Linked DNA regions of Diceros bicornis minor. The protein of the gene in region 1 purifies or fractionates together with the protein of each later gene. This does not show direct contact. Links are inferred from orthologs where the notes say so. Each region holds a gene or a part of one and is shown in the gene's direction. Other genes may lie near its edges.

The links.
Region 2: the proteins of ENO1 (region 1) and PARK7 fractionate together in Homo sapiens (co-fractionation; 3 studies listed by BioGRID). This does not show direct contact. The link is inferred for Diceros bicornis minor from reciprocal best matches to the Homo sapiens genes ENO1 and PARK7.
Region 3: the proteins of ENO1 (region 1) and FBXW7 purify together in Homo sapiens (affinity purification with western blotting; 3 studies listed by BioGRID, with this or other methods). This does not show direct contact. The link is inferred for Diceros bicornis minor from reciprocal best matches to the Homo sapiens genes ENO1 and FBXW7.
Region 4: the proteins of ENO1 (region 1) and TPI1 fractionate together in Homo sapiens (co-fractionation; 4 studies listed by BioGRID, with this or other methods). This does not show direct contact. The link is inferred for Diceros bicornis minor from reciprocal best matches to the Homo sapiens genes ENO1 and TPI1.

The regions. Positions count from the first base shown.
Region 1 is NC_080752.1:28,557,372-28,565,429, reverse strand, and holds the start of ENO1 (alpha-enolase), read left to right. Parts: upstream 1-4,779; 5' UTR 4,780-4,859; intron 4,860-7,197; 5' UTR 7,198-7,206; coding exon 7,207-7,291; intron 7,292-8,058. UniProt on the Homo sapiens protein: Glycolytic enzyme the catalyzes the conversion of 2-phosphoglycerate to phosphoenolpyruvate. In addition to glycolysis, involved in various processes such as growth control, hypoxia tolerance and allergic responses.
Region 2 is NC_080752.1:27,789,303-27,796,932, forward strand, and holds the start of PARK7 (Parkinson disease protein 7), read left to right. Parts: upstream 1-4,497; 5' UTR 4,498-4,570; intron 4,571-5,509; 5' UTR 5,510-5,532; coding exon 5,533-5,622; intron 5,623-7,023; coding exon 7,024-7,125; intron 7,126-7,630. UniProt on the Homo sapiens protein: Multifunctional protein with controversial molecular function which plays an important role in cell protection against oxidative stress and cell death acting as oxidative stress sensor and redox-sensitive chaperone and protease.
Region 3 is NC_080750.1:40,825,827-40,833,102, reverse strand, and holds the start of FBXW7 (F-box/WD repeat-containing protein 7), read left to right. Parts: upstream 1-3,978; 5' UTR 3,979-5,021; intron 5,022-7,276. UniProt on the Homo sapiens protein: Substrate recognition component of a SCF (SKP1-CUL1-F-box protein) E3 ubiquitin-protein ligase complex which mediates the ubiquitination and subsequent proteasomal degradation of target proteins.
Region 4 is NC_080756.1:54,878,178-54,885,969, reverse strand, and holds the start of TPI1 (triosephosphate isomerase), read left to right. Parts: upstream 1-4,512; 5' UTR 4,513-4,527; coding exon 4,528-4,753; intron 4,754-5,981; coding exon 5,982-6,105; intron 6,106-6,217; coding exon 6,218-6,302; intron 6,303-6,376; coding exon 6,377-6,509; intron 6,510-6,800; coding exon 6,801-6,886; intron 6,887-7,242; coding exon 7,243-7,330; intron 7,331-7,461; coding exon 7,462-7,580; 3' UTR 7,581-7,792. Other genes in the region: USP5 (ubiquitin carboxyl-terminal hydrolase 5), read left to right, coding at 1-44, 680-871, 1,387-1,530, 1,607-1,752, 1,971-2,124, 2,421-2,505, 3,133-3,226. UniProt on the Homo sapiens protein: Triosephosphate isomerase is an extremely efficient metabolic enzyme that catalyzes the interconversion between dihydroxyacetone phosphate (DHAP) and D-glyceraldehyde-3-phosphate (G3P) in glycolysis and gluconeogenesis.

The DNA.
Region 1 (8,058 bases):
CAATGCCAAGTGGTTGGGGGCGAGGGCGGGGAGCCAGGCTGCCTGGGTTGGTCCCCCGGTGCCTCCATTCACTAGCTGCAGGCTTGGCCAAGTCAGCCAGCCTCTCTGTGCCTTGAGAAGTGGAGAAGATCACATGGAACCTATTCATGGACTTGTCATGAGGATTCAACGAGTTATACCTGGCAGGCGATAAGGCCTCAGTAACATCTCTGTGATAGGTGGAGGGAGAATTTTCTCATTAACTGTGGTCCACGCAAAGCCTCTGCAAAAACCCTACTCTCAGTGAATCACAAGGGGCCAGTGCCTTCTGAAAGGAGAACTTGGCTCTTGCTTTTCCATCTGGAGCTCACGCACTGTGTCATCTGACGGCTCCTTCCTTCCAGTGACCCGCATTTTGCAGTGGGGCCATCGCAGGGTCCTGCACTCCTGCTCTAGCAGTGCTGCCGGCCTAGCGGACAGGCAGGGGGAGCCCTCTCTTGGCTGCAGATCAGGGTTTCTTGGGCCCACGGCTGCAGCCGCCCTGGTCCTCTTCAAATGACAACCATAAGAACTGTGAGACAGAATGGGTGGGAACAGACAGAGATGAAAAGAAAACTGCTCTGGGGACCTACTGCCCCTGCTATTTTAGAGACATCAGTGCCTTCCAGGCCTCCATTCTAGCATTCAGTAATGACTCCCAAACTGATGATAGGAGCCACCTGGGGTGTTACAGCTCAAGACTGCCTCCTGGGGTTGGTATTATTGCACCCATTTCAAAGATAAATGAGCTCAGGCACAAGAGGATCCACGCAGAGCTCTTTGACACAAGATACAGACTCTTTCCTCTGATTTTCTCCTGTTGGTTCAGAGCCCCACTCAGTCTCCACTTGGCTCCCTCATTCATTAGCTCCTCCAAGGAGATCTCTGCTCGCTGGGTGCCTGCTCCTTGCTTCCCTGACTTCCTTGGGTTTTTTTTTTCTTTAATCCCCCTACTACTTACTCCTCCCATTTGGGCACCCCTGATACATGCCCTTCTAGCAATGACTTTGTTTAAAAACCATACTGTGCTGCCTCCCTTCTGTCTTCCCAAACGTGTGCCTTGCCCAATCCCTACTTCCTGACTTTGTGAGGTCAGCTTTGAAGATGGCGGGGAGGGGGCTGTTGACAGTGGGAGGCCCTAAGAGGTGCCCTCAAAGCCATCATAAAGGCACAATGCTGACTGCAGTTTACAGAGAGGACACGTGGGTTTCTTTAAGTGAAGGACTTGGTGGTAAATTGAGAAGCCATCAAATTTCTAGAAAAAAATGCAAGGGAAGAGCTGAATTTGATTTTTTTTTTAATTAATTAATTTTTCTCCCCCAAAGCCCCAGTAGATAGTTGTATGTCATAGCTGCACATCCTTCTAGTTGCTGTATGTGGGACACGGCCTCAGCATGGCCGGAGAAGCAGTGTCTCGGTGCACAACCGGGATCCGAACCCGGGCCGCCAGCAGCAGAGCACGCGCACTTAACCGCTAAGCCACGGGGCCAGCCCTGAATTTGATTCTTTTTAAAGCTGGGTCAGAACTCATATAGGCTGCTGGGGGAAGCGCATAGAGGTACAGATACTTTAGAAAACAAAGTTGAGGGCCGGCCCCGTGGCTTAGCGGTTAGGTGCGCGGGCTCCGCTGCTGGCGGCCCGGGTTCAGATCCTGGGCGCGCACCGATGCACTGCTTCTCCGGCCATGCTGGGGCCGCGTCCCACATGCGGCAACTGGAAGCATGTGCAGCTGTGACATACAACTATCTACTGGGGCTTCGGGGGAAAAAATAAAAAATTAAAAAATTAAAAAAAAAAAAAGAAAACAAAGTTGAAGATGTTTATACCCATGACCTAGAAATTCCACATCTAGGTGTATGATTTAGGTATATGCCTTAGAGAAACTCTTGCCTGTGCTCAGAAGACATTTGCAACAAAGTTCATAGCAGCATTGTTGGTAACAAGAAAAAAAGAACCAGGAAACAATCCAAATGTATACTGACAGGAAAACGTGTGATATTCACACAATGGAATACTATATAGCACTGAAAACCAACCATCCACAGCTAGAGGGATGGAGCTCACAAATGTCAAGTTGAGCAAAAAAAAGAATTCTAGCAAAAGGCTACAAACAACATGATGCCATTTATACAAAGTTCAAAATTTGTATTTAAAAACCATAAAGAAAAGCAAGGGAATAATAAACACAAAATTTAGGGTAGTGATCACCTCTGTGGCCTAAGAATACACAAGGGACCTTACTGGCATTGCCAGTGTCCCATTTCTTAAGCTGGTGGTGGGTACACGGACGTTCATTTATTATTCTTTACACCAGATACACTTTATGTAGTCTTTGGCATATGTGAAATGATGACAGACAAACACAAACCTCACGATCACAAGGAGGGGCCATCCACCTGCATCCCCTGAGGGCCTTCGGCTCTCAGAGGATCTCTTTCCTCCCTTGGGCCACTTATTCAACCCTGAAGTTTCCTATCTGGCTAGAGACCCACCTTCCAAAGAGGCATGTCACTTTTTCAGTCGACCAGCAGTTTTCAACCAGGGGTGCACATCCCACAGACAGAATCTGTAACCCAGGCGGGTCAGAGGATGCTGCAGATTCTCCTTCCCTCAACCCTGGTGCCCACCTGCAAATGTGTTGCAGGCGCTACCTGCAGTGCTTCCCCAGGTGGTCTTCTGATAGTAGCCTTGGACACTCACTTCCTCTTCCTGCCCACCAGCAAGGCAAGTGCCTTTGGTATGCCACTGCGGTGAAATTGCTCAACAATTGTACTGTGAGTGACAAATAATAACAAAACAGCTGTAACAAGGTAAATGCCCCTGCACTGGAGTGCAGGCAAATGTGAGCCCCACACCTGTTAACAAAGCCTCAGGAGCTGTGGAGACAGGAAAAGCATTTGGCAGCCTGTGGATTTGGGGAAAGACCTGAGGGCATCTCTACCAATCATTAACATTTGAGCTACAATTTGAGGTCAAAGTGCGCAGAACACTGTGCTGTGGCCTCCCAGAATCTTGCGACAGCAGCTGTCTGAGATCATGTTCTGCATCTGATTTCCTGCTCGATTCACTGGTTCTGGCCAGAGAGCAGTTAGAAGAGTCGTGTCTTTCTATCTTTATCTCTCTAACCCTTTTAATGTAAAATAAAAGAGATTGTTTTGGAGCCCTTTCAGGGCCACGCCTTAGAATTGCTCTGAAAATAAGAGCTCTAAGTGTCTGATTTCTGTAAAGTTCTTAAGGTTTAGGAAATGTTGGCTGTTGGTTTAGCTGCTGAGTCATGGGGCTGGGATCTTGGTTTTAAGCAGTCTGAAACATTAGCATCTTGCTGGTGAAATCATCAACTCTGCTTGCAAAATTCATCTAATTCTTCAGTGAAATATTTTACAATTTCCTTATTGCTTTTTTGCTGAATTTAATCCTAAAGTTCCTGCTTCTTAGTCAACGGAGAACAAATACCGTGGGCTCAACAGACCATCACCTTTACCCAAGGCCTTGGAAACCTAAGCCAGTAGGTGGGGAGATAAAAATGCCAGGAGGGAAGGAAGAAAAACAGTTTTTGCAGCTAGCCAGAAGAAATAGGAATTAAATTCAAATACACATTTGAATCTCTCTATGCAAGGCAATGTGGAAAATATGGAGATGTAAAACAATGTCTGACACTGTTTTAGCTCTCAGACTTACAGACCAAGACGAATGCTGAGAAATATAACTGTCATAGAAATGGAAGCGATCGGGGGATGTGCTGCAGGACTGATTTTAAATGAGTATCAACTCCTGAACAGAAAGGTAAATCACTGCAGCCGCCCCTTCCTGGTTTTCATTTGCCAGACTACCATGGAATATTATCTGGTTTGAACTTTGAGAAATCTCCCGGGTCTGTGTGAAATTCCTGTCCAAATCATTATACACGATGGTTCACATGCATCCAGGCACATCTGATCTACCCCGGGGGCAAAGCGAGGGATATTAAGCCTCCTTGCAAAAAGCAACATTAACAAGAGCTATTGAATGAATTAACTCTGGGGCGCACGTGGAGATGTGCCTGGCACGCAGGCCGCGCTCAAAAAGTATTAGCTGTAACTAAAGGAAAGTGAACTGCCTCTCAGCCACCTGGCTCTCATGTCTGACCGGCGCACAAGGACAAAGGGTCGGGGTCACCTCGGCGGGCGGCCGGGGGCGCGGCGGGGCGCAGCGCGCAGGCGCGGGAAGGCGCACGTGGCCCCCAGCACGCGGCTCTGCGGCCCGGGAGCGGGGTCGCGGCGCGCGGCCGCCAACGTCTCTAGGCCGACGGGGTCTCCGGCACCACGCTGCGGGGCAGGGGGGCGAAGGGCCGGCAGGGCGGGCCGCGAAGGTCGTCACCAAGGTCGTGGGCCGGGCGTGCGCCGGCGGAGCGACGCTGTGTGCGTGCAAGACTCGGAGTACGTGACGAAGCCCCGAGCCCTCATGCCGGCCGGGCCAGCCCGCCCCGCCCCCGGGCCCCGGCGCCGCAGACGCTGCTTGGCCAGGGAGTCCCCGCGGGGAGGGGGCTCGCCCGCACCCCCACACAGCCGCGGTGCAGTAGGTGCCCCCCAGCCCCGCCCCATCCCCCCAGGTCATCGTCCCCCCGTCCCCGCCGCCGTGACGGCCATAGGCGAGGCCCTGAGTGACGGCGCGGGGAGCCAATGGCGAGGCGTCGCGCAGGGGGCGGGAAGTGGGCGGGGTCTCCCGAGCTGGGCAGGAAGTCGGGAGGGGCGGCGCGGAGACGAGCTCAGGGGACTGGGAGCGCGCAGGCCTTTTGGCTTAACGCTTCTCTCGGTGTCTGCAGCACTCTCTGCTTCTTCCCGGGCGCGACATCCGGCGGCTAGGTGAGTGCTCGGGGAAGGGCTGCCGAGCCCGCACCCAGGCAGGCGGCGCGGGGTCCTCTGGGGGTTCCTGCTCCCCGGACGGCGTGCCCGGAGCTTCGGCGGGGACGTGGAAGGGGCGGGCCGGCGCGTGCGAGCCGAGTCCCCGGCCGGAGTCGCGCACCCCGGCCCGAGGCGGGGCGCGGCGCCTGCTTTTCCCGGAGGGGAGGGTGCTGCTCAACAAGTGACTACGGAGTTGCAGGGCCGCGTAACTGTGCTGGGAGGTCAGGACCAGAAGGCGCAGGCCACTTAAGAGAGCAGGCGTGGAGAGGGGAAGGTTCTGGGGAGCAGTCCAGGCCTGACCCCGGTGCTCATGCAAGCCAGGCCCTCCCTAAAGTCGAGGCAGGGGCAGGGAAAGGAGAGATGCCCAGGAAGCTGCTGCTCCGACATGGGCAGTGGCTACAACTCCAGAAGATGCTTACTCTTGAGTGGCTGCAGCTGAGCCAGGGGATCGCTGGGAAGCGGTCCAGGCGACCTCGCCCTGGTCGGGCACGAGCTGCTCCCGGCGCCCCTGGCTGGCCGCCAGCAGTCGGCCCCTGATCTGACCTAAAAAAGGTGTACTTTGAGGAAACTTCCTGTTCACCTCTCTCTCTGCAGCGTGGTCTGGGCTGTGTGGCCCGTCGGTTGACTTGCCTCCAGGGCACACCTAGGCCCGGGCCGCCCGGTCCACTCATGCTGCTCGTGGTCCGGGGTTCCGTCCAGACACACAAAAAGCGGTGAAGCCGTGTGGTCAGACCAGCCTCTCCCTGACCCTTAATGACTTCGGAGAATAGTTTTTCTATCCAATATAAAGATCAGTTGGATTTTATTTTCACATCATGAAATAAGTTAATTACTTTGTCTTATGTCACTAAAATGAGATAAAAGATGAGTTCCTATAGCTGTATGCTGAGGTAGTGTAATCAAGATGCGCTTTAAAGCGCATCTGAAATCCATCAAGTACAGTTGGTTTGGGGCGGGGGAGGTTGACTGGAAACTGGCTGAGGGGACTTCTTGGGGTGACAAATGTGTTACACAGGTATATAATTTGCCAAAACTCAAAGGTAACTAAAATTAAAAAACACGTTTGACTGAATTTGCCTTTTTGTAAGATAGTAGATAAAAACTAGATATTTTTTTATTGGCTAATGAATAAAACTCCATTGTTACATAGAAAATAAAGCCACAAAAGTGACTTCAGCATCTAATTTTGAAACTTAAAAAGAAAAAAAAATGATGCCATTTTCTGCTTCAGAACATTCCAGAGAAGATATTGGGGGGGAGCCCAGTTAGATAATGGCTTCTGAACACTAATTCAATTCCTCTCATCCACTTCAGTCCTACACGTTGTTCAATTCATTTCTTCCTTGGAGAGCCGGTGGGAGAAGGAAGGAAAAGGCCTTTCTTTGAGAATTTGCTGTTTGCACTTTGTAGCTGCAAACCTTTTTTTTTTTTTTTTTTTTTTTTTTTGAGATGTTTTCAAAGGAAGCTTCTTTCCTTGGAGTATTTTCAAAAATAGAATCTTTCCTCTAGTTACAAATCATGACATTTCATAGTTGAGTTTTTTAATGGAGTAAAATGCCCTTTGAAAGAAATACTAATTAGATGTCATTATTAACGTGTCCTGTCTTGCTAAAGACTCAAGTACTGTGCGGTTGGAAAGCCCTGGAAATTGGCAGTGGCAAAGATCACAGTGCACAGACCAAGGAGCTCACTCCTGGCCTCCAAACTGAAAATTTCTAATTATCTAATATCTACCAGTTGAACATCCTACTGCTACCTCAAGTTTAACTTGATGAATTATGTCCCCATCTTTTAATTCACTATTTCACTACAAACCAAATTTTCCTCCTGGTTCCCTCCCCACCCCACCTTTTTTATCTTAGATGGGTTTGCCTGGGACCTTCATGTCCCCTTGGTCTTTTTCCATTGCCATGCCAACCCTCATTGTTAACTAATGACAATAACCGGTTTTCAGACTGCCTCCTCTTCAGCCATTCTGTATGCCATCAACACGTTAATCTTTCCCGTTGTATTTGATTGCTCCCCAGTACAGTCATATATGTTCAGGCTTTGCTTATAGGACGAGACCTGAACTGCTGGGGATTAAGGCCTTGTAGAGCTGGGCCCAACCTACTTTTTTAGGAGCAATTCCTCCTGCTTTCCAGCAGGCCCTCTCCCACTCTAGTTAGCCTTCCTACATCCAGTATTTAGTCCAATGCAGATTCTTTCAAGTCTAGGAGTTCTCAGAAGTGATGCCTTGAATGAATGAGCTGAGGCTGCATTATGGTTTGTGGAAAATATGATCTGTGTTTCCCCACAGAAATTCGCCATGTCTATCCTCAAGATCCATGCCAGAGAGATCTTCGACTCTCGTGGGAATCCCACTGTTGAGGTTGATCTCTGTACCTCAAAAGGTATGTGCCACCTTTGTTACTATAGTTCCTTCCACCACATGCCATTTTTTTAAAACTTTTTAAAAATGACGGCCTTAGGCAAAGAAAAGTCTTACTGTAAAAGCCTTTCTTTCTGATCGGCACATGCTGGTAGGTTGTGCTTCCTGGCTGGGGGAGTGTGGGGGTGCTGTAGGGCATGGGAGTCCTTATCTTGCTGCTTCTTGGTATTTAAAACAAGCCAGGTTGGCTCCTAGGTCAGTGAGGTAGGGGAGTAAGGCGATACCTTGTCCCTAAAAGGGCCCATCACTGGTTTGCTTCACAGCTTGCTGTGACCAGTTAAGCTGATATGGTGTGATAGGATGGATCTTTCTCTCTTGAAAAGGAAAGAGATAAGCAAGTGCGAGTGTAATTATAGCACTCTTATCTTTGTTTCCAGGAATCACTCTTAAACCAGGGATCTGGGATAGTTCTTACCTTTGGGTGTTGGGACGTTCCAGAGGCTCTTATTTCTACCTGGCTGTAAGTGCCCCAAGGAGGGGTTTGCCCATGTGAAAAAAGAAGAGAATGGGGACGCTTAAAAGCTCCCCCCCACTTTGACTTTGAGAAAAATCTAGTGCTTCAGAGCCTGGTCTTCCCTCTAGCAATATCTCAGCTTTTTTCCAAATGGACGTAATGGGTGGGGTTGGAAAAGGAGCTTCAGGCAGAATCACCCAATGGTGCTGAGCACATGGCGGAGACCTGCCAGTTAGAGCTGAGTCACGTCTGTGAATCACAGTCCTGGCTGTGAG
Region 2 (7,630 bases), about 770 kb from region 1:
CTTGCGCCCGCCCCGCCTGAAATGTCAGGGCTCGCCCACTCTTCTCCGGTCTCGCCGACCTAACCTTTCGGGGGCTCCGGAGGGGAAATTCGTCTTTTCTGCCAGACCTCGCTAGAGCGTGCCCTGAACCCAGCCTTTAGTGGATGTTCAAAAATACATTTATTCCATGTTCCAGATGGCTTCCTTATGCCCAGTAACTTCAATTTATTCCCCCCCCCTTAGTAAACAAAACAAGTGAAAATAATAATGATAACTTCCCCCTGCGCATACAATTACTCATTCACTGTCTGGTGAAATGAATTTGATGTGGCAAATAAGAGTAAAATAGGAATAAGAAATTGGTTGAAATCACATCGTGAACTGTAGTGTTCTACAAAGGAGAAGTATTAATCTATACGAGAGGAAGGAACATCCTAGAGGGTGAAATTAGGGTAGGAAGTATTTATTGAGCACCTGCTATGTGCCAGGGACTGCAATAGATGTTAGGGATTCTCCAGTGACCAAGACAGGAAGGTCCTATCATGGAGTTCACAGGATTGAGGAGAGACAGACAATAAATAACTAAACAAAAGAAAATGCTAAAATAATTGCTATCAATGAAATAAAAGGATATATTCATAGAAAACGAGTGTTACTTAATAAGATGAAATGCAAGATATCTGACCCATAAAAAATAATTAATAATCTGGCAGCAGTTTCTTTGCTATTTATTGTGATCAGGCTAATTCTAGGCAGAGTTGCTTTTTGGGACCAGGATCAGAAGGGCCATGGGGCTGCTGTTGCTAATGTAGGGGAGGCAAAAACTTTACCTCTACCTTCCTAGGGTCTCTGGCTGGGCCTGAGAATTAAATTGACATAAAAAAGATTAACAGGAGAAAAGCATATAAATATATTTAATATGTTTTACCATGACCTGGGAGCCTTTAGAAGGAAATAAAGCCTCAAAGTGGCAAAACCCAAATGCTTATATACTGGGTTGAACAAAAAGTGGCAATTGTGGAAAAATATCTAAAATAAAATGGAGAAACTAAAGGATGATGCGAGTTACTTTAACAAGGTCTCTTTGTACAAATTCTGCCAGACTCAACTCCCTCTCTGGTGATAAGAATGTTTCTTTCCTCCTGGCATAGGGAGGGCAGTTCTCACATGCAAGTTTCATCTTCTGCTTTCAGGAAGAAAAAAAATGGGAATCAGAGTGCCTTTCTTGAACCCGCTGTTTTCCAAATTCCTCTAACTCAAAATAATCAGTATGCTAAGGTGGCATATCTGGAGGTGGCATGTCCTGTGTTCCTTCACTGACATTATCAACAGCATTTCTCCATTGCTGGACTGTGAGCTCTACAAAGCAGAACAGCATCTCTTAATTAAATGTTCCAACTGCTGCCGGAAACTGATGATTTTAAGCTCCTTGAAAATAGTCTTTTAGTTTGTACTTCCCACAGTGCCTAAAGACTTGTCAAATATTGAATTAAAAATGTAGTGGATCAGAATGGGGTGGTTCTACCTGGAAATAAGGGACTGAACTAGGAAGTGTCAGTGTTTTCTGGTAAATGGTTTAAATTTTTGGCTTTGTTCTATAAATGTGTGATGAGAAACAGACATAAACTCTAAAGTTAAGAGACTGTCATGAGTGTTGCTGACTTATTAATAAGCAATACTGATAGAATCTATGGTGGGTAGAGTGTGAAATTTGGCATCAGAATATCTGAATTTGACCAAGACTCTGCAGGACCTTATACAGTCATTTCACTCTTCTGGACCTCAACCTCTGCATCTGTGAAATAAAAATTATGTTAATACCTGCCAGGAAGTCAATATATAAAGTCTAAAACCAACAGATGAAAAATATTTTTATGTACAGCATTAGCATATTGTTTAAAAATTAGCATATTGTTGAAAAATACTGAGATAATTACCGTAAGAAATACTTTAAAGAGTTGAAAATATTTGCCTCTGGAGAGCAGGGCTGAGGGGTAGAAAGTACTGAGTTAGAAGGCTGCTGTCTTTCATTATGAGCCTTTTAATGCTGTATCAGTGAGCTACTGCTGTGTAACAAAATCTGAGTACTTCAGTCTGCCTTTAGGCTGTGATGATCTGCTTCAGGTACGGGTACAGGTTGACTGGGGCAGCTCTGTTCCACGTGTCAGTTCTGAAACCCAGGCTGAAAGGGCAGCAGCAACTTCCCTGGGGGAAAGCTCTTCCTTTTCAAGATGGCAATGCAAAAGTACAAGAGAGCAAGCCTAATCATCATGTCAGTGTTTTTCAAGGCTTTGATCAGGTCATGTCTGTTAACATCTCATTAGCCAAAACAAGGATGACAAACCCAAAGTCAAAGGGCAGGAGTACCCTCCACTCCCGCAGGCGGAAGAGGAAAGAGTGAATATTTCTGAAAAATAATCCAATCTACCATAAGTAACATTTGAGTTTTTAAAACCGTGTGCAATGGATTCATTTGATAAAAATTAATGCTGACAGGTCCATTTCAGATCTCGATGGTAATGCAGATGTCTCAGGAGTGTTAACTCAGGTTCGTTCTCTCTCTCTTTTGCTGCTGAACCATCAGTCTTGCCATTTTTATTTTGCTGTGGCTGTCTCATGCTGCAGCAGGCCACCAGCATGGTTGTTTCCTTACAAGAGTTTATTGTGAGGACTAGAGCAAAACAGCCTGTCTTCTCTTGCTTTTCCTAAATCCCTCTTTGGTTCTTGAAATACATATCTGACCACTTGCCTCCTCTCCCTCTCTGGCCCTCCTATTTCCCATGCTCTTTCAAAGCTAAAAAGGGGTGGCTTTTGCCTGCTTCCTTTGCAAACAGCCAAGGGTGAAGTCATTCCAGACTCCCAAAACGTTGTCTTCTTAAAATGGGAAATGATTAAAGACATTTAAATTTTTTGCACAAGTGCAGATTATTGCATAAATGAATCAATTTACAATTATTAAAATTAAATAAAAACCGCTCTCACCACCATTGTAAGGATCCCATCAGATATACGAAAGTACTTTGTAAACCAACAAAAATAACATTATTTCTTGAAAATAAACGTGTTTTTAATATCTAAATTGAAACTTTAAAAACACTTGACGTCTGTAAAATACTAGTCTCATGTGTTACCGGTGAGAGTGCTCAGTGATTCAACTTGTATGGAGTTGCTCAAATGTATTTCCCACTTCTGGGAATTTTCCCTCCAGGTATATCTGCACAAGGACAGATGAATGTCATTCAGCACAGTGCTGTCTGTACAGAAAGTGACTGGAAATAACCCGTTATCGGTAGGGTACCGGTAAGTAAAGTATGGAATATACCTACAATACCATAGTATCTATGGGGGGGGGGAGGAAGTTCTTTTTGATATGAAAAGATCTCCAAGATATTCACTTAACAAGGTGGTGGCGGCGGCAGGAGGGCAAGTGCAGAACAATGTATACAGACTGCTATATTTTTATGAGAAAGAAGGAACATAATAGTACATATTTGTGTGTGCTTGTACTTACATAAAGAAATACTGGAAAGATGCCCAAGAAACTAATAATGTTATCTGTAGGGGGTGGGGATGGAACTGGATGGGGACAGGGCTAGGAGCCCGTCTGTTCAATGTAACACTTATCACTTTGGTTTCTGAAACTAGTGATAAGTATCAATATTCAAATACTTTTAAAAATATAATTTGAGATTATAATTTCGGTGAACTTAATTAATCAAGTACTTGTTAGACCTATGTGCTCAGCACTGCGCTAAAACTGGACGCAGAAGCAGCACTGAGATCCTTAAAAAAACAACTCTGAGAAACGAATGCACGTGCAATTACCGCGCGTAACTGATGAGGCTCACAAAAACGAGGGACGGGCGTGGGCGAGATAAGGCCGGAGGACCTTGGAGAAAGAGTCCTAACAGAGCGGAGGCGACGCGGGAAGGTGACGAGGAAAGAGGAACAATGCAAAGGGAGACAGAAGTGCACAGAGGAAGCGTGAAAGAACAACTCCAATACGTGAAAACGCACGTCGACAGCAAGCCACCCCACTCTCGAGACGCGCATTGCGCAACTGGGCCGCGGCAAAAAAAAAAAACGGGGTAAATCCCGCGGGCGCCGGGGGCAGGCCGGGCCGTGCCACTCGCGGGGGGGAGATTTCGTGAGGATGCGTGAGTCCACGGGATTCTCGTGGGGCTGAGTGTTCCAACTGGAACCATCCTAAGCGCACAATCGGGAGGCCCAATGGCAGGCCGTCCCCCGCGGTTCTCCGAGGTGGGTTCGTCCGGATGTGACGTCACGGATGCGAGCGGCATGCGCCCGCGCAGTGCGGGGGGCGGGGGGCAACGAGCGCTTGGACAGCGCGCGTCTGCGCAATGCGGCACTGAAGAGCCTTGCCGAGCGGCGCGAGTCTGCGCACTTTGGGGGCATGAGGGAGGCGGGGCAGCGCGCGTCTGCGCAGTGTGGGGGGATGAGAAACCAGGCGGCTTGCGTCTGCGCAGTGCGGTACGCGTGCGTGCTTGCGTGAGTCTGCGTGTAGGCCGCTTCTGGTTTCCCAGTCCCGGCGCAGAAGACGAGGGCCCGCGTCTGTGGGAGGCGAGGCTAGGTTCGGGTCGGGGCTAGGGGAGCGTGCGCGTGCGCAGGCGGTGGCCCTGTGGGTCGAGGGGGCGCCGGGCTTGGGAGGGGGCCACCCTCAGGCGGGTCCCCGACCCCGCGCGGGGCTGTACGAGTGCGGCTTTCTCTTGCCAGCGTAGCAGCAGCTCTGAAGCTTCCAGAATTGTGTACATGGCGTCCCAGCAGTTTGGAACTGCTGGTTAAACCTGTGATTGTTGAAGTGGATTTATTAAAATCCATTTTGCATGGTCACCAATTCTAGAAAATAGTCTAAAAATTCTTCAGACCCTGGTTTAGCAGCTTTCGTTTACGATGAGAGCTAAGTGCAAAGAGAGGGAATTTGGTTGGGTTGCCTTTACTTAGGGGGATTCCCATCTCTCTCCATTATTAAAAAAAACAGTGTTCAAATATTTAACACTGTTAACTCCCTCCAAATTTTTAGTATAGTTATTGGAACTAAAAAAAATCCCCTCCAAAAATCTTACAGGCTAATTGCTAACTGTGTATTTAGTTTTTTGCCCGTGAAATTTAGTTCAGTCGCATCCCTATGAAATAGTACTTCAAAGAAAGGCTGTCTCCCCGCATTGTGTGAAATGCAACTTGTGTTTTAGAAAACCTCATTTACAATATATTATTAAAAATTGAATTTTAAAAAAACAAGGTAAAAGAAAATCTAAACAACACTAACACGCATTAACAACCTTACTGTGTTTTCATCTCAAAAAGACAGCATTTGAAATTGTGCTACGTAAGCCAATATTAACCTAAAATGCATTTTTCATATTCAGTTGTGTTTGCCTATCAGAACCTTTTCTCTAGGAGGCACTTAGTTACTCTGCTTAAAAATATTCCTAAACTTAAAATTTTTGGCTTTTCCAGGGTTGCAGTGAATGTTTTTTGAGAATCTTTTTTTTAATTATTTTTTATTAAGTCTTTAAAAAGTACAGCATAGAAATGGCTTCAAAAAGAGCTCTGGTCATCCTGGCTAAAGGGGCAGAGGAGATGGAGACCGTCATCCCTGTAGATGTCATGAGACGAGCTGGAGTAAGTCCCTCAACGTTTTCTAGCCCTCCTCTCTTTTAAAACATTCTTGGATTTTTAAAAATCATTTTGAATAAAATCGTAGTCAGTGTACTTTATGAAATATTTCAAATGTACACAAAAGTATGGAGACTATATAATAATAATTACTTATTTATTCACTGTCTGCATTTAATACTTGTTAACATTTTCTCATGTTTCTTTCAGACCTATTTCTTGAAGAACAAATGCTTTAAAGAAATAAAGTGTTGCAAAGCCCTCTTTGTAAATTTCCCCAATCCTTTTCTCCTTCTGGCCCCAGAGATAACTGCCATCCTCACACTGAAGTGTATCCATTCCATGCATGTCTTTAAAGTAGTATTAGCGTGTAGTTCTCATTTTGCATGTCTATATTATATATCTGTATATGTGTATGTAACCATAGTGAACAATAGCACGTACTAGTGTCATTCTAAGCACTTATATAAACTTGTTTAAATTTTACAGCAACCCTATGAGTTATTGCCATTTCATTTTATGGTTGAAGAAACTGAGGCACAGAGACACCAAATAAAGTGTCCACACTGTAGAGTTAGTAAGTAGAAGAGGCAGTACTCAGGCCCTGGCAGTCTGGCCCCGGAGTCTGTTAACCCAGCGTTCCTCTGGTTCTCATAAGTGAAGATACATATAGATCCAGTTTGTTTATTTAAAATTGCTGTTTAGTGTTGCACTGTATGAACATGCCCACAGTCCATTCTTCTGTTACATTGTTTCACTACACTGTGTATTACAATACTGTATTACGTTACAATGTAATATATTACAATACTGTAATATTCTTGTCCGAGTTGCCATGTGCAAACTTGTGGAAGTTTTTCCAGGCTCTCTGCTTAAAAATGGAATTGCTAGGCCAAAGGATGGTCCATAATTGGCATTGCTAGATTTTGTCAGATGACTCTCCAGGGTACCAATGTGTGGCCCATCAGCAGTGTAGGGAAATGCCAGTTTGTCCAGTACTGGCTCTTGGTACTGTCAACTTTTTTGTGAGGAAAAAGTAGTATATTTTCTTAGCTTGCAATTCTGCTTTAAGAAAATACCATAAGGTTTAAATGGCAGCAGTAACTTTGCAAGATGGATTATTAATAGGATGATCATATATTTTATTGCCCAAACCAGAACACTTGTGGGAGAAAGGACACTAACCAGAGAGGGCGCAGAGGCAGCATCTGTAAACCAGTCCTCTCCCGGGCAGACTGGGACAGACCTAGTTATTAAATATCTTTAGCCAACTTATTAGCTAAAGTCAGCATGGTTTTGTTGCAGTATTTCCTGCCAAGTTATTTTAAAACACAGGGCAGCTGTGAAGTGTTACTCTAAATTTATGTTTCTGTATTCTTAAATATCATGATGGTGTCTTTTTCTTAGATTAAGGTCACCATTGCAGGTCTGGCTGGAAAAGATCCAGTACAGTGTAGCCGAGATGTTGTCATTTGTCCTGATGCCAGTCTGGAAGATGCAAGGAAACAGGTGTGTTCTCCATACTTGGAATTATTCCTTCCTGTGGCTTTTTTATCAGTTTCTTGAAATGTGTTTTGACTGCATCTAAGGCTGTGGTTAGCACAGACTTATTTTAAGAAAGTTACTATGCTTAGATGTCTTCCCCACTAAACTGAGCCTTGGGCAGTCGAGGACTTTGCCTTTTCCACCCTGTGTTCATGGAACCTGGCAGTTCCCTGATACGGCATGTGCTCAGTAAGTGGGTGGGTGGGTGGACAGGACACTTCCATCAGGATTCTGCTGGCTTACACAAGCAGCCTTGCCTCCTGGTATAGCTTTGTTACTTGATATGAGAGAAGCAACTGTCAACGTTGCCTGTTCGTTTCTTATTCTTATTCGAAAGCAGCTTTTTACCTTTTCTCTTTTAGTGACACAGATGTCATTGTGTGACTCATTTTATGTGGAACACTCATACTCGATTAGTGGTTGGATTAAGGGAGGAGTAAGAGTTCTACTTAAATTGTGTCACTTTTTC
Region 3 (7,276 bases), on another chromosome or scaffold:
AATTGTCTTTACATATTTGAGGGAAACTAAATCACAATAAAACCCAAAACCACTATGAGGGATTCCAGCAATAATTTAATAGTTGAAAGCATGACATTATTTTGGATGGTAAAAAAATAAAAAAATAGTCTTCACTACACCTGGTGGTGTAGTGGTTTAAGTTTGTGTGCTCTGCTTTTGCAGCTTGGGGTTCACAGGTTCGGATCCTGGGTGTGAACCTACACACCACTTATCAAACCATGCTGTGGCAGTGTCCCATATAAAGTAGAGGAAGATGGGCACGGATGTTAGCCCAAGGCCAATCTTCCTCAGGAAAAAAAAAAAAGGATTGGCAACAGATGTTAGCTCAGGGCTAATGTTCCTCAAAAAAAAAATAAAAAATAGTCTTATAGTCTTACTTTTAAGAAGTTTATAATCAAATTCATAAAAGATAATTAGGTAAACTATCATTATTCTTACTTTGGAAAGAACTTGTCCCAAATATAACTCATTTGGTAGCATTACCTTACCTGAAATATATTGTTCAAATGTGTACTCTAAAAAGATATCGGAAAATGGGGCATCTCAGAGATTAGGCATGAAAAAGATAATAACACACTTCACAAAAGAGGAAACCCAAATGGCTAGCTGATACATGAAAAGGTCCTCAATAGCATCAGTAATCAAGGAAATGCAACTTAAAACCACAATGATATACTACTACATACCCACCAGACAGGCAAAACTGAAGACTGATAATACCAAGTGTGGTTGAGGGTGTGGTACAACAGGATTCATACATGGTCAGTGTGAGCATAACACTTTAGAAAACAGCATGGTGTTATTTACTCAAGTTTATGACACACATAACCACTCCCAGGTATATACCATACAGAACTATAGATGTGATGGAAAAAATCTATGAAGGATGTTCACAGCAGCGTTTATAACAGCCCCAAATTGGAAACAACCTAGATGTCCATTAACAATAGAATGGTTAAATAAATTATGGCATATTGCTACAATGGAACATTTGTAATATGCAGCAATTAAAATGAACAGATTACAGCTATATGAACCCAAACAACGTACAGGTTAAAAACGATGTTGTGCAAAAGCAGTAAGCACAACAGATTACAAATTATGTTGTTCCATTTAATAAAGTTCAAAATAAAGGGCAAAACTAAACAATATATTGTTTAGGGATGCATGCTTGTGACAAAACAATAGAGAAAAACAAGGAAATGATTATCACAAAAGTTAGAATAATGGTCACCTCTAAAAGGGAGGGAAAGACTTGTGTTCAGGAAGGTCACTGGGGGGCTTCCGGGGTGCTGGCAATGTTCTATTTCTTGACCTGGTGAGTCACACTGAGGTTTCTTTTATAATTACTCATTATACTGAATAACTGCTTTATGCATTTTAATGTATATTTCACAATAAAAATGCTAAAAGTAATTGAATACTGTAGACAGCATTTCTAGAAAGAAATTTTGCCAGATAATTTAGCTTATGAAATCTTTGACAGTAAAAACCACTGATGTGGGATAATAAAACATTAAACAGTTTCTCATAAGAGCTCACTTTCAAGCGTAGGAGAAAAGAACCCTACGCAAATATCCCTTTGTTATATTTTAACAGAGTATGCAAATCTTTATCACAAACAAATTGATGAACCGGGGAAAGAACTCTGTTACCTCAAACTTCAGATTTTTTTGGAATTTTGAATGAACCGTTTTCTCCCCTGGATTAATAAGAAATGAAAGAACTAAAGAGATGTAGACCACCATGGAAATGTATGAACTTCCTCCTCTCCAGTCACCAGTTCCAGCTGTTTCCTCCAGTTATCATGCTGGGTGGTGAGGTGGGTGGATCTTGCCCAGTAAGCTCAGTGCAGCTGTTACTTTGTAAGTAGGTGGCTGAGGGCTCTCCTGAGTGCCATTCTGTCTCTCAGCACTAAGGTTCTAAGGTGGAGCCACTGACAACGAAAACAGATCAGGCTGCTGAAAAACCCCACGTGGTACCCACCTTTCTGGAGGCATCCTCTGCTGGTTTGCCGTGCTCTGATGTTTGCACTCTTTTTATCCAAAGCCCATAGAATTTAAAATCTGAGGTGCTCAGGCTTCACAAAATCCGCTATATCTGTGCGTTTTACTCTGTCAATTTCCACCAGGAAATTAGCAAGAGGGGCAAAACCAAAAAAGATCTATTTTGTAGCCATGTTGGGCCATCACTTAGTGGTCTGATTCCCTATGAATCTCATTTGGAAGGACATGGCAGGGGATTGGTCATGAAAAGACAGTTAAATCCAGGGTAGCTTAAGCAGGATAGTTAACCTGGCTCTTGGAACTTCGAATCAAGGGCAGGTGGGCAGGTGCCACTTTGTGAGTCTCTTCTTGCTTCTGCAACATCCCCCTCCACCTTCCCATCACTTTTTCTGTGCACTTTTCTGCACTTTAATAAAAATGAGCCCCTGGATTTCCCCAGTTAGAAGTTTCCTTGGTTTACTGTTTGCATGCGGCGGTGGCAGTTGCGGCAGAAACTCTGAGCTTCCCAAATCTCTCTATAAAAACTTGCTCCTTATTCCCTGAGGCGGAAAGACTTGTAATATCCATTATTGCTGCTTCTAGAGGAGGTAGGGTGTGCCAGGGTCCAGCGACAGAACGGTGGAATCCGCTTCCTTTCATCATTGTTGCTGCTTTCATCTCATTCTCACACTGTTCACCACGACAGGTTCAAGAGAGATTTCTGAGGATTCTGGTTTTTTTACCCTAAAATTTATTTTCCTAGAGAACTACACTTTCAACTTCATGAGTTTTTACTTGAATTTACCTTCCAGGATAACATCTGTAGGAAAAGCTGCACAATAGTAATAATATTTATTTTAGAAAGGAAATAGCCTTTGAGTCAGACCTGAAACACAGGCCAAAATTTCTTGATGACGGTAACGGACACTGATTAACAGCCAAGTCAGCTCTCCAAAGCTTCAAACAACAAGCAAGAACGATTCCTAAAAGTGAGGCCCTACTAAATTCTCCCCCTGAAAAACAGTCGACAATCCTTCCACAATCTCTGGGAGGATGGCTCCCTTCCCTCACCCCGGTAATTCCCCTCCTTTTTCACTCAAGACTCAGGTTGTGACTCCGTACTCAAGCCGCACCCCTATTTCCTTTCATGGGAGGGGGCGGGGGGAAGAAGAGATGTATTACAACTCTAATCTTTACAATGCTATGCAGTTTACAAAGCGCTTGCAACTTCCATCAACTCCTCTGAGCTCCGCGAGCGCCACGTGAGGCATTCATTCATTCATCAAACATTTGCTCCGCTCGACCACACGTTATCGGGCGCTGGGTCTCACCCCACACCACGAGAAGGGTGGAGTGCTCGCTCCCTGGAGCAGGTGCAGAGGGTCAGGCTGTAGGACAACTTCTCGCTCAGTCAGGCTTTTCGAAAGCCCATTTGGGGCCAAATGCCTCACCTTCGGGTGGTGTGCGCCCGAGCATGGCCGCGCGGCCTGGGCCTCCTCCTCGCTCCCAAAGGAGCAGTCACCACCTGCCCTGAAGGAAACCGCTAAGAGCAAGCTCTCTCCGCCGCCCTCGGGTCAGGGGTAAGATCAGGCGGCAGCTTAGGCTCCACTCGGCTCCTCCCCTTCCTCTCTTCAGTTCTGACGCGGCCGTAGAGGCGGCGGCAGCGGCGGCGAGTCCCGCGGCCCCAGTCGCACCCACCCGCTCGCCCAGCCCCGACTTCCTCTTCCCTTTGAGCGTCATCACAGCGCGCCAGAGTCGCCCAAGGCAGGGTGATTGGAAAGAGAAAAAAAGGCCAGCGGAGGAAGCCTCCGAGCGGAAAGACAAGGGAGGGGGGAGGAGAGCGGTTGCTAGGTGACTTGCGTCATCGGTCTGCGCCGCTTTCCTCCCGCCCCTCTCTCTGGAGTGAGGCGAGAGCCCCGCACAGAGCGAGCGAGACAGCGAGCTGAGCTCCGGGCGCTACCGCCGCCGCCGCCGCCGCCGCCGCCGCCGCCAAGAGCGTGAGAGCGAGGGAGCATCCGAGAGACCTAGCCCCCGTGCACTGGCCGCCGCCAAGACCTCCGCCCTAAGCTGGGCCAGCGGGAGCCGCCGCCACCCCGCCTCTCCCCCCCTCACCTTCCCGGCCGGCAGCGGCGGCTGCACACGCCGGAGCCCGAGCCTGAGCCCGAGCCGGCGGCTGGGGGGCAGGGAGGCGGCTACTCGGGCCGGGACTAGTGAGCTGCTCCGCGGTGAGGGGACGCTGAGGAGGGGCCGGAGCTTCTATCTCGTCCCGGGGCGCGGGGCTCGGGACCCCCAAGGTGTAGGGAGGGGGGCCCAGCCGCAGCGACACATGCGGGAGCCGGGAGCGGGGGCGGCGCCGAGCGGAGCCGGCCGGGTCCCCCACCTCGCCGCCGCCTCGGCCACCCTCCCGGGCCCGTAGCATCTCGCCCCGGAGTGTATGAGCCGGGGCCCCAAGCTCAGCAGCCACCCCCCGACCGGGGGGGCGGGGACCCCGATGTGAAGCGGCGGCCGGGGCGGCGGGGAGAGCAGGACCGGCGCCGCCGTCCTTTCCTTCCCTTCCCCCTCCCCTCTGCCCCCTCGGGGGTCTTCTCCCTTGGCCAGTTGCCGGCCCCCCGACTCCTCGGCTGGACTCCGGGAGGAGTTCTTAGAGCCCCCTCCCCCGCCCCAGGGCGGCGGGGCCGGGGGGGACCCGGGGGGCCGGCCGCAGCCTCCGCCCAGAGGAAACTTTTATAAAGATAAAATCCGGAGCCTCCCAAACCTGACTATCCCGGGAGAAGTGACCCAGGACGGGCAGGACACACAGCTTGAAGAGACCCAGGAAGAGGAAAAGGAGGTAAGCGGGGCCGCCGCCGCCTCTGCTCCGGCAGCGCGGAAGAGACCCGAGTGGCCGTCTGCTTTAGCGACACCAGCACCGCTTCTTCCTCACTAACTCGCCGGAGCCTTCCGCAGCTGCCGCCTCGGTGCGAAGGAGGAAGGGAACCAACCCACTTTCCCAGCGCCACGGCTCTTCTGTAAAGTGTGAGTGGCCGGGGAGGGGGAATTGAGGGGTAGCGAGTGGGAGGATGCCGGTGGGACCTCCTGGAGTTTTGCTGATGTTTTCCGGGAGTGTTGGGAGTGTATGGATGAGAGGGTGTACCCTAATACCTCACTGCGGGGAGGAGGTATTAGGTAGTCCTGTGTTCTGGAACCTTTTAGCTCTTTGTACGTGTAATACGCAAGCTTACAGGTTTCTCTTAGCGCTGAGTTCTGTCTTTCTCTAGAGTGGACACTTGCACCTTTCTGCCAGTAATTGGCAAAAGGAAATTGAGGAGGCCAGAACATATGTGCACACAAAGGACATCTCTGTAATATACCTTTTCCTGGTACACCGGTGTGAGTAGCGCTGTAGTTCTTGTTTCTGGGCAAATCTTATTTTGCTTCCCAAGTGGGAACCTCTTTTACCCTGTGCACCCTGAAAGTAAAAGTCTTTTCTTTTTTCTACAGTCTTCCTTGAGAGATTTTCCTATTGGTACAAGAGTTTTTTACCTTCTCGTTTTTGGGGTCCAGTTCCTGTGGGTCAGGAGGATACTGTAACAGATTTTAATCACTCAGGAAATTCTGAGTTCTTAAGAATCACAACTTTTGGGGGAGAGCGTTTAGTACTTTAACTAGTTTATAAAAGTTGTTACATTTTTTCCTTTCCTAAATGCTTTTTTTTTTTTGGAGTAGCATATGTTCTAATTGCTAGCGCTTTTTTATTTGACACGAATGACTTGAGGCTTTGCTTGTTTGTGTTGTCTATACTTCTCTATTAAATGAGGAGAAACTTTTCGTATTTAATTCTTTGAAGAACGATTTTTTTCTTCCCTTATTTTATTTTATTTATTTATTTATTTTTGTGAGGAAGATCAGCCCTGAGCTAACATCCATGCTAATCCTCCTCTTTTTTTTTTTACTGAGGAAGACCGGCTCTGAGCTAACATCTGTTGCCAATCCTCCTCCTTTTTTTCCGCCAAAGCCCCAGTAGATAGTTGTATGTCATAGTTGCACATCCTTCTAGTTGCTGTATGTGGGACGCCGCCTCAGCATGGCCGGAGAAGCGGTGCCTCGGTGTGCGCCCCGGATCTGAACCCCCGGCCGCCAGTAGCGGAGCGACTGCGCTTAACTGCTAAGCCACTGGCTGGCCCTCTTCCCTTATTTTAAAGGTGAAGTCTATAAAATCTTTGATTTGTGTTTTAGATATCTTCTCAGAGTGCCAAATTAAGGTGCAGGAAAGTAGTTAACATTTTGTAAATTTATACAGACCTTAAGCATTAAGTGTAGGGTGGAATTTTATATAAAGAACATAAGCAGTACTATATGAGAATGATGGTTCCTCCAGACAACTGTGTGGGTTCGCTGTTTCTGAAGCCACTGCTGAGAGAAGCTTTGTGGGAATGAATGTAAGCCTGGGGTTATCTATGCTGACTTCTCCAGTCAGGATCTTGATTAAATTTATTTAAAACTTTCTCAAACAGTGTTTTCATCCTGTACTTTTCTCTTTTGAAGTAATGAGTTCTACACCCCCTGAATTATGTAACAATTCATTTATTTATCCCAAACCTCTTTAAAGTTCCAAGACACATCCAGAGTTTGTTTTGAAAAATTCTAGAACAAGCTGGAGTTTATCTTTTCCTGGTTTTATAGATTTTGATTGTTCCTCTTTACCATCATCTTTCCTGACTCTTTTTGTCTGTCTTAGAATAATTTCTTCAATCCCTTTGGTCACTTTGCTCTCCTCTGGAACTTCTCCTGCTGCTTTGTTTTTCTTTAGGTACCTTGTTCTTGTCATGCTTTTGTAAGGAGCCTTAAATTCTGTCTATTTTAAATGGGTACTGACATGAAAATATTAAGCAGTGGATATAATGTTAGATGTGGAATCAAAAACAAATGTCTCTGGATTTGTTGTCTTATTTTGTGACCTTGAGGAAGTCATGTATCCGATGTTTCACGAAGATAGGAAGAAGAGAAATCTAGTCTTGCATAGGCTGTTTTTGGGGGAGGAAAGGAGGGCAAATCAAGAAACTATAATTTGTACTCCATCAAATTGCTTACTAACTTGAGGACTTTTTGTTGCTTTGACCATAGATTGGTTAAAAATCATGGTAATGTTTTATTTGGGTAGCAAAGAAACAACCAAGTATTTGGGGTCCCTGCCTTTGAGATGCTTTTGTATGGGTGGCAGAGGCAATGAAACACAAATTGCACAAAACTGTCGGAAAGGAGGAATGGACCAATATTTATCAACCATTATA
Region 4 (7,792 bases), on another chromosome or scaffold:
CAAGAAGTTCACCTTCGGCTTAGACTGGGTGCCCAAGAAACTGGGTATGGTGGCTGGGATGAGCAAGGGAGGTTAAGCAGAAAATGCTAGAAAAAGAAGGGGCCTTAACACATGTAAACTAGTGTTTCTCAAACTTTCCTCTGAAAGGAGAAAATATTACCTTAGATGTTTCAAAGTGTGTCTCGTTTGAAAAGCACTGACTAAAAATATTAAAAGACTTCTTTGATTTTATAGTTATGATTTACAACCAAAAGTGATGTTCATTGTTTTATTTTTGTGATTGATAAGATGTTTTCATTTTGACTATCTTGAAACAATTCATTCTTATGGGTCTCAGAGGCCCCTGACGACTTGGAGAACTGCTGATGTAACTTTATTTCCTCCATCAGTTGAGACTACAGAAGTATAGAATCATTCTGTTGCACAGGTTGGAGCCCCACTTCCCTGCCCAGAGCTCAAGTGTGGTAGATCGAGGACTAGAATCCAGGTCTCCTGACTCCCAGGCCCACAGTTATTTTTATTACCCTGGGACCCCTAAGATTGGTACTGCTCTGTGCAGCTCCTTACTATAGAGCAGTGCCAAGACAAGGGGAAGAGGCTGGAGATTTCCAAAGTGCTTTTTCAGGGAGGGCCTCTGGAAGCTGCTGAGGTGACCCTTTGCCTGCCATTCCACTTACAGATGTGTCCATTGAGATGCCAGAGGAGCTGGACATCTCCCAGTTGAGGGGTGCCGGGCTGCAGCCTGGAGAGGAGGAGCTGCCTGACATTGCCCCACCCCTGGTCACTCCGGATGAGCCCAAAGGTAGCCTTGGTTTCTATGGCAACGAAGACGAAGACTCCTTCTGCTCCCCTCACTTCTCCTCTCCAACATGTTAGTGACTCTTCTTCCTGCCCGTCTCTCTCCCTTGCTGACATGGGTCTTCTCTGCCTGCCTCCCCGTGGCCCTGTCCTTTGCATTTCTCCTGTCCTCCCTTTCACATTTCCTCTGCCCGCTTGATGGATGTGAGGAGCGACTAGAGCACTCCCAGCCACATTCTCTGTGTGGATGGCAGTCGCACTGGCTAATCACCTCTACCCTTGTTACCTCACAGGTTGGGGGTCGGGGCGGGTACCATACTCCAGAAACGGGGCCCATTCTGTGAGAATGGGCAAGGAAGGGGATCCATGGGGGATCTTTAGCCTCAGTCCTGCACCTTTAGGATACGGCTGGACCCACATTATGTTGTGTTGTCATTTTAGTTCTGGAATAAGGTGCCAGGCCATGGAAGAAAAATGCATGGAATGAGTGGTTGGAAAGAGGGCTAGAGGGCTGGACTGTGTGAGGGAGGAGGAGCAGACAGTGGCCCAAGGAGACAGGTCACAGTGCCCACACTTCTCCCACCACAGCACCCATGTTGGATGAATCAGTCATTATCCAGCTGGTGGAGATGGGCTTCCCTATGGATGCCTGCCGCAAAGCTGTCTACTACACAGGCAACAGTGGGGCCGAGGCTGCCATGAACTGGGTCATGTCGCACATGGACGATCCAGGTAGGCAGGGGTGGGTAGCAGGGCGGGGCAAGACCACTATGCTCCCCTAAACACTTCAACCCCTTCACCTCTGCAGATTTTGCAAACCCCCTCATCCTGCCTGGCTCCAGCGGGCCTGGCTCCATAAGTGCAGCAGCTGACCCCCCTCCAGAGGACTGTGTGACCACCATTGTCTCCATGGGCTTCTCCCGGGACCAGGCCCTGAAAGCTTTGCGGGCCACGGTATGGGCTGCCCCCAGCTGAGGACTGGGAGCCTGTGGGGAAGAAGGAGGTGGGAGTGAGGTTCCATCCTTCATGAGTAAGACCAGGGACAACTGGAATGGTATTGCCAAGGCCAGGGCTGCACCCTTCTGTGGCTGTGATGAAGGAGCTGAGGCCTTCACTGGTAGTTTTCTTGCCACGAACTTGTTACAAACAGTAATGCTTCCCTCTTCTCCAAGAACAATAGTTTAGAACGGGCTGTGGACTGGATCTTCAGTCACATTGATGACCTCGATGCAGAAGCTGCTATGGACATCTCGGAGGGCCGCTCAGCTGCCGACTCCATCTCTGAGTCTGTGCCAGTGGGACCTAAAGTCCGGGATGGTCCTGGAAGTGAGTGTCCCTGGGAAACAGAACAGGCCTGGTGGCATCTAGCCAGTCTGCTACGCCAGATCCTCATTCCAAGGCAGCTCTGCTTCCCTCAGGGGGCAGAGGGGTCAGAAGCTTTTCCATGAACGTGACTTCTGAAGGTGGGATTCTAGGAGGCTGAGACAGACTTTTGACCCAATATATGCCCCGCCTTCCTTGACCCTCATGTCCTGAGTTTGAGCTGTTAGATACATCTTTGGACTGTCACTCAAGGATTCCTCTCTCATTGTCTTCTCTGCCCTCTGTCTCCCCTTCCCTAGAGTATCAGCTCTTTGCCTTCATTAGTCACATGGGCACCTCTACCATGTGTGGTCACTACGTCTGCCACATCAAGAAGGAAGGCAGGTGAGGGAGGGGCTGCAGTGTGCATTCTGAATGGGGGAGTGGAGGTGGGAATGAGTGGGGACATCCTGGAAGTCCTTGGAGTATTTGTGGGAGGAGGTAAAGGATGGCAAATACACCAGGAATTGACAATGCCTGAAGGCAGGGATTGGCGAACTGCAGCCCAAGGGCTGAGTCTGGGCACCGGCTTTTATACATAAAGTTTTAATGAACACAGCCACACTTAGTCATTTATGTATTGTCTGTGGCTGTTTTCACGCTGCAACAGGAAAGTTGAGTAGTTGTGTCAGAGACCAGATGGCCTGCAAAACCTGAAATATTTACTGTGTGGCCCTTTACAGAAAAAGTTTGCTGACCCCTGCCTAACAGAAATGGGTGGGGGGTAGCTGTAGAGATACTGCAGGATCTGAAGACAGTGAGGAAGGGAAGGGACCCCTGTGAGACTGGGATGCTCCCTTCAGACAGGTAGCAGCTGGACTGTAGGTTTGGGGGCCCAGTCAGAGAATGTTGGGAGCCTTTGCCCCAGAATCGCCAGGATCATCTCCAGGGGCCATGTCAGAGAGACTGAGTTGATGCAGTGTGGAATGCCCAGTTTGTTCCTCCTTTTCCGCTCCTTTCTCACTTCCCCAGATGGGTGATCTACAATGACCAGAAAGTGTGTGCCTCTGAGAAGCCACCCAAGGACCTGGGCTACATCTACTTCTACCAGCGAGTGGCCAGCTAAGAGCCTGCCCTCTGACCCCTTACCACTGAGGGCAGGGGACAGACCACCTGGCATGAGGGCTGAGGGCTGAGGGCTGGACTTCAGCACCCCCTGCTCTGTACCCTTTTTCTTTTTGTCCCCAGCAGCAGGGAAGAAGCTAGAGGCCATAGGAAAATGGCCAAGCAAAGTGGGTGGGCACTCGAGAGACTCGGGATAGAGCAGGAAGGGGACGGAGGGCCGGCGCCTGTGTGTGAGGAGACTTTGTTGCTTTCCCTGACCCTTGACCGCACAGTGCTCTGCTTCCCTGTGTAATCCCGCCGGCCCCTGGTGTGGAGGGGGGCTTGTGTGTGTGTGTGTGCCTGGGTGTAGCTTTGTGCAGCCTCTTCTGCAGGAGGGGGTGTCCGTGCCTCCCCTCCCCCTTTGTGTTTGCTCCCTGTGTGGTGGGTCAAGGAGGGATATGAGGGAAATGGGGGCCCCCTCGCTCTCCTGCCTCAGTCTTTCCCCCACCCTGTCTCTTCCCTGTCCTTCTCTGGAAAATGCCAAAATACACGATGTGAATAAAAGTACAATGGCTAAATTGTGCCCTCTTTGATACCTTGGAAGAGACTTATCTTCCCTGGGGCTAACAGGAATGCCGGTTTCCTCCAGCAGTCACAGAAGAGGAGGCCTAAGTGGGTATTTCCCAAATGTCCCTAGAGGCCAGGGAGCCCTGGGCCTGGGCTCCAGGCCCTGCAGTCTTGTCAGGCCTTGGCCAGCTGGAGCAGAGTGGGCTACTCCTGGTGTGTGTGTGGGGAGTGGGTGGCTGTAGACTCTGAACTGCCTCTTTCTTAGCTACACAGTTCCTATGCCAATGTGGGCGGTCCCTCCCCCTCTAAACCCTCTTACTTGACCAGTAACTGTGGGGCTAGACTCCCTGGGTCGGTCAAAGGTTCCTGCTCAGCAGTCGGGGATGTAGTTGTACCCCGATGGGCGGAGGGGGTTCCTTTTCCCAGAGTTGGAGAGATGACCCTCAGAGCTCTCTCAGTCCCCCGAGCAGTGTGGTCTAAGGCCAAGCAGGGGTCGGACCTGCCGGCTAGCTCCCCTGGGACCACCTCTGGCCTCTGGAGGGCTGCAGTGGTGAGTAGGGGTTCCCCTGAGCACAGGGGCTTACAGTTCTCGCCTTCTCCCCAAAGTCAGGCAATTGAGGCTGAAGCGACTGGGCCCCCGGACGCCCCTAGAACGTTGCTACAAGAAAGGGGGTAACGTTAGAACATTGCAACACCGGCGGCGGGCGCGCAGGCGGGGCCAGGGGGCAGGGCTTCCCGGCAGGGGCCGGGCCGAGGATGGCCGAGCACGGGCAGGAGGCGGAGTTCCGCCTCACCGCGCTCTACATAAGCGGGCCGTGGCAGCGGCTGCGCGCTGATACTGACCTTCAGTGTGCCGGTCCCAGCGCCATGGCGCCCTCCAGGAAGTTCTTCGTTGGGGGGAACTGGAAGATGAACGGGCGGAAGAAGAGTCTGGGGGAACTCATCAGCACTCTGAACGCGGCCAAGCTGCCGGCCAACACCGGTGAGCCCTGGCCTGGGAGGGTCGGGGCCGGGGTTGGGGGGGTCGGGCGTGGGAGCGCCCTCTCCCGACCTCTCTTAGCCGGGTGTCCGCGTGGGCCTGGATGCAGGGATGGGGACAAGGACTATTGGGGGTCCGGGCCTTGACCCCGCAGCGCCCCTGGTCCCGCAACCGCAGGATCAGGGGTGCGTCGAGAGAGAAAGGTGGGGCCCCACTTAATGGTGCCCTCGGACTGTGGGACAGGAAAGGACTTCTTGGGTCATCGGGAGGAAGATGGCCCCGGGCGCGGACTGGGGCTGCACCAGCCAGGAGCCGGGGGTAGAAGCGGAGCCTAGCCTCTGTGGGCGACTGGGAGAGGTTGGCGACAGCCTGCGAATGTGGGGGAGGAGGCTGAGCGCGCGTGCGGGCCTCCCGCTACCTGCCCCCGGCCACCGGCTCCGTGCGCCGCCGCACGTAGCCCGAGGCTCCTCCCCGCGCCTTGCTGCCTGCTCAGGCCCCCGCTGAGCTCCCTCGGCCTCCGGAGCCTACGCGCACTGATCGTTTCCCCTCGGCAGCCTGGATGACTCCTGCTTTCTGCCGAAGGGGCTGAGCAGGTGCCAAACAGGCTGAGCCATTTGGGAATAAGGAGCGATCCTACAGCTTTCTCCGTTTTCTCCTGGAAACGGGAGAGCGCAAGGGCTCTATGAGTCAGTCCACTCCCTGCCACGCACGGGCAGAGAGTGCTGTCCTCAGCCCTTCTCCTCCCACCCACCTAAATCATAGAACCACGGGCCTGATCAAAAGAGGCATCCCCTTCTGGTTTATTCCCCAGAGACCCCAGTACAAACCCCAGGAGCTGGCTCCTTCTGCTTTTGGTAAAAATCCTTGCCTTGCCTTTCCTATATGGGGATGGGCTATTTTAGAAGGGAGGCGGGGTTGGCCCCAGAGAATGCTGAGTCTAGGAGGTGCCCAGGCCCAGAATAGCCCGGGAAATCAGAGCCACAGCTGTTAAAAGAGCAGAGGGCAAGGCGAGGGCCGTGGCCTCTGAGGGGCACCTGGAAGGCCCAAGGAGTTGGATACAGGCCCAGCCTGGGCTGGGAAGTGGACACAGATCATCTTGGTGGAGTGAAAAGGAGGGGAAAGCAGAACTAAGAAAGAGGCTGAAGGCTGGGGGCTCCAGAGCCCAGGATGCAATGTGGAGAATGAAGGCTTCCTGTGATCTCATCCCCCGGTGCCACCATCTTCTCCTCAGAGGTGGTCTGTGCAGCCCCCACCGCCTACATTGACTTCGCCCGGCAGAAGCTAGATCAGAAGATCGCTGTGGCTGCACAAAACTGCTACAAAGTGGCTAATGGGGCTTTTACTGGAGAGATCAGGTGAGATGCAGGCGGGAGAGTGGTGTGTGGGGACCCTGCCCTCACTTTCCTCATTGAGGGGAAGGCCACAGGGTGGGCTCCCTGCTGAACCAGGGCTTATCTCTTCCTTTAGCCCTGGCATGATCAAAGACTGTGGAGCCACGTGGGTAGTCCTGGGGCACTCGGAGAGAAGGCACGTCTTCGGGGAGTCAGATGAGGTTAGTAACCAGGAGAGGAGATAAGAGATGCCTTATTCCAAGAGGGGTGTCTCACCAAGTGTGTTCCTCAACAGCTGATTGGGCAGAAAGTGGCCCACGCCCTGGCGGAGGGACTTGGAGTAATCGCCTGCATTGGGGAGAAGCTAGATGAGAGGGAAGCTGGCATCACTGAGAAGGTTGTTTTTGAGCAAACCAAGGTCATCGCAGGTATCTCGGGAGAAAGGGATCTTTGAGCCTAACCAGGGCCACGGAGGCACAGAGGGTGGGGTCCACTGCCCTCCAGCCTGACTTGATCCCCTTGCTGGAAAGGAAAGGGGAGTCAGAACCCTTGCATCCTCCCTATCACTTCTGCTCCTGCCCCTGATGGTATAGATGCCCCTTGGAGTTTCTTCAACAGCCACCAGAAGGCAGTAGGCCACCACTGTTGTTCATTCTCTGGGAAAGGAGCTGGAGAGCTCCTTACTGTTCACCCTTCCATCTGTGATCTCTGTCCCACAGACAACGTGAAGGACTGGAACAAGGTTGTCCTGGCCTATGAACCTGTGTGGGCCATTGGTACTGGCAAGACTGCAACACCCCAACAGGTAACCACCCCAGGACCCCTGCCTCATCCTCCCCTGCCGTGGAAAGAGGTTTGTTATTTTATAGCCCCTCCTAAGGAGAAGGGCGTGGTGCTGGTTATGTTTGTTTAACTGGACAGTCACAGAGACCATCGAGGCCACCCTCTCATTTTAAAGACAGGCCCTCAACCCAGAGAAGGAGAGTGACTTGTCCAAGGACATCCATTCCAAGGCCTAGGTGGGATTGGAGCCCTTGTGTTCTGACTTAGATCCCAGGGTTCTTGCCCCAAAACCACACTGCCTCTCTCCACTGGTACCCCGGGTTTCTCCCCTTTGAGTGAAAGGCAGAAAGTCTTACTTAGTCTGGCTTCTTGTTCTAGGCCCAGGAAGTACATGAAAAGCTCCGGGGATGGCTTAAGTCCCACATCTCTGATGCAGTGGCTCAGAACACCCGCATCATTTATGGAGGTAAGTCGGTTTGGCTCCATTCTGAGGTGGGGTGGGCTGAGAACTAGACTGAGCGCTCCTTAGATGTGGAGGTAGAGATGGAGTATACCCATCCCATCCCCGACCATTCCCTCTCTCTTCTCCTTTCCCAGGGTCTGTGACTGGGGCAACCTGCAAGGAGCTGGCAAGCCAGCCTGATGTGGATGGCTTCCTCGTGGGTGGTGCTTCTCTCAAGCCTGAATTCGTGGACATCATCAATGCCAAACAATAAGCCCCATCCATCTCCCCTGCCCGTCCTGCTAAGCCAGGGACTAGGTAGCTCAGAAGCCCAATAATTGCATCCCCAGCTCCACCCCCCCACACACATGCTTCTGGTCGTGTCACCTGCCCCCTCTCCTGGCCTAATCCAAACTGTACCTCTTCCTTTACTGTTTACACCTTACCCTATAATGGTTGGGACCAGGCCAATCCCTTCTCCACTTA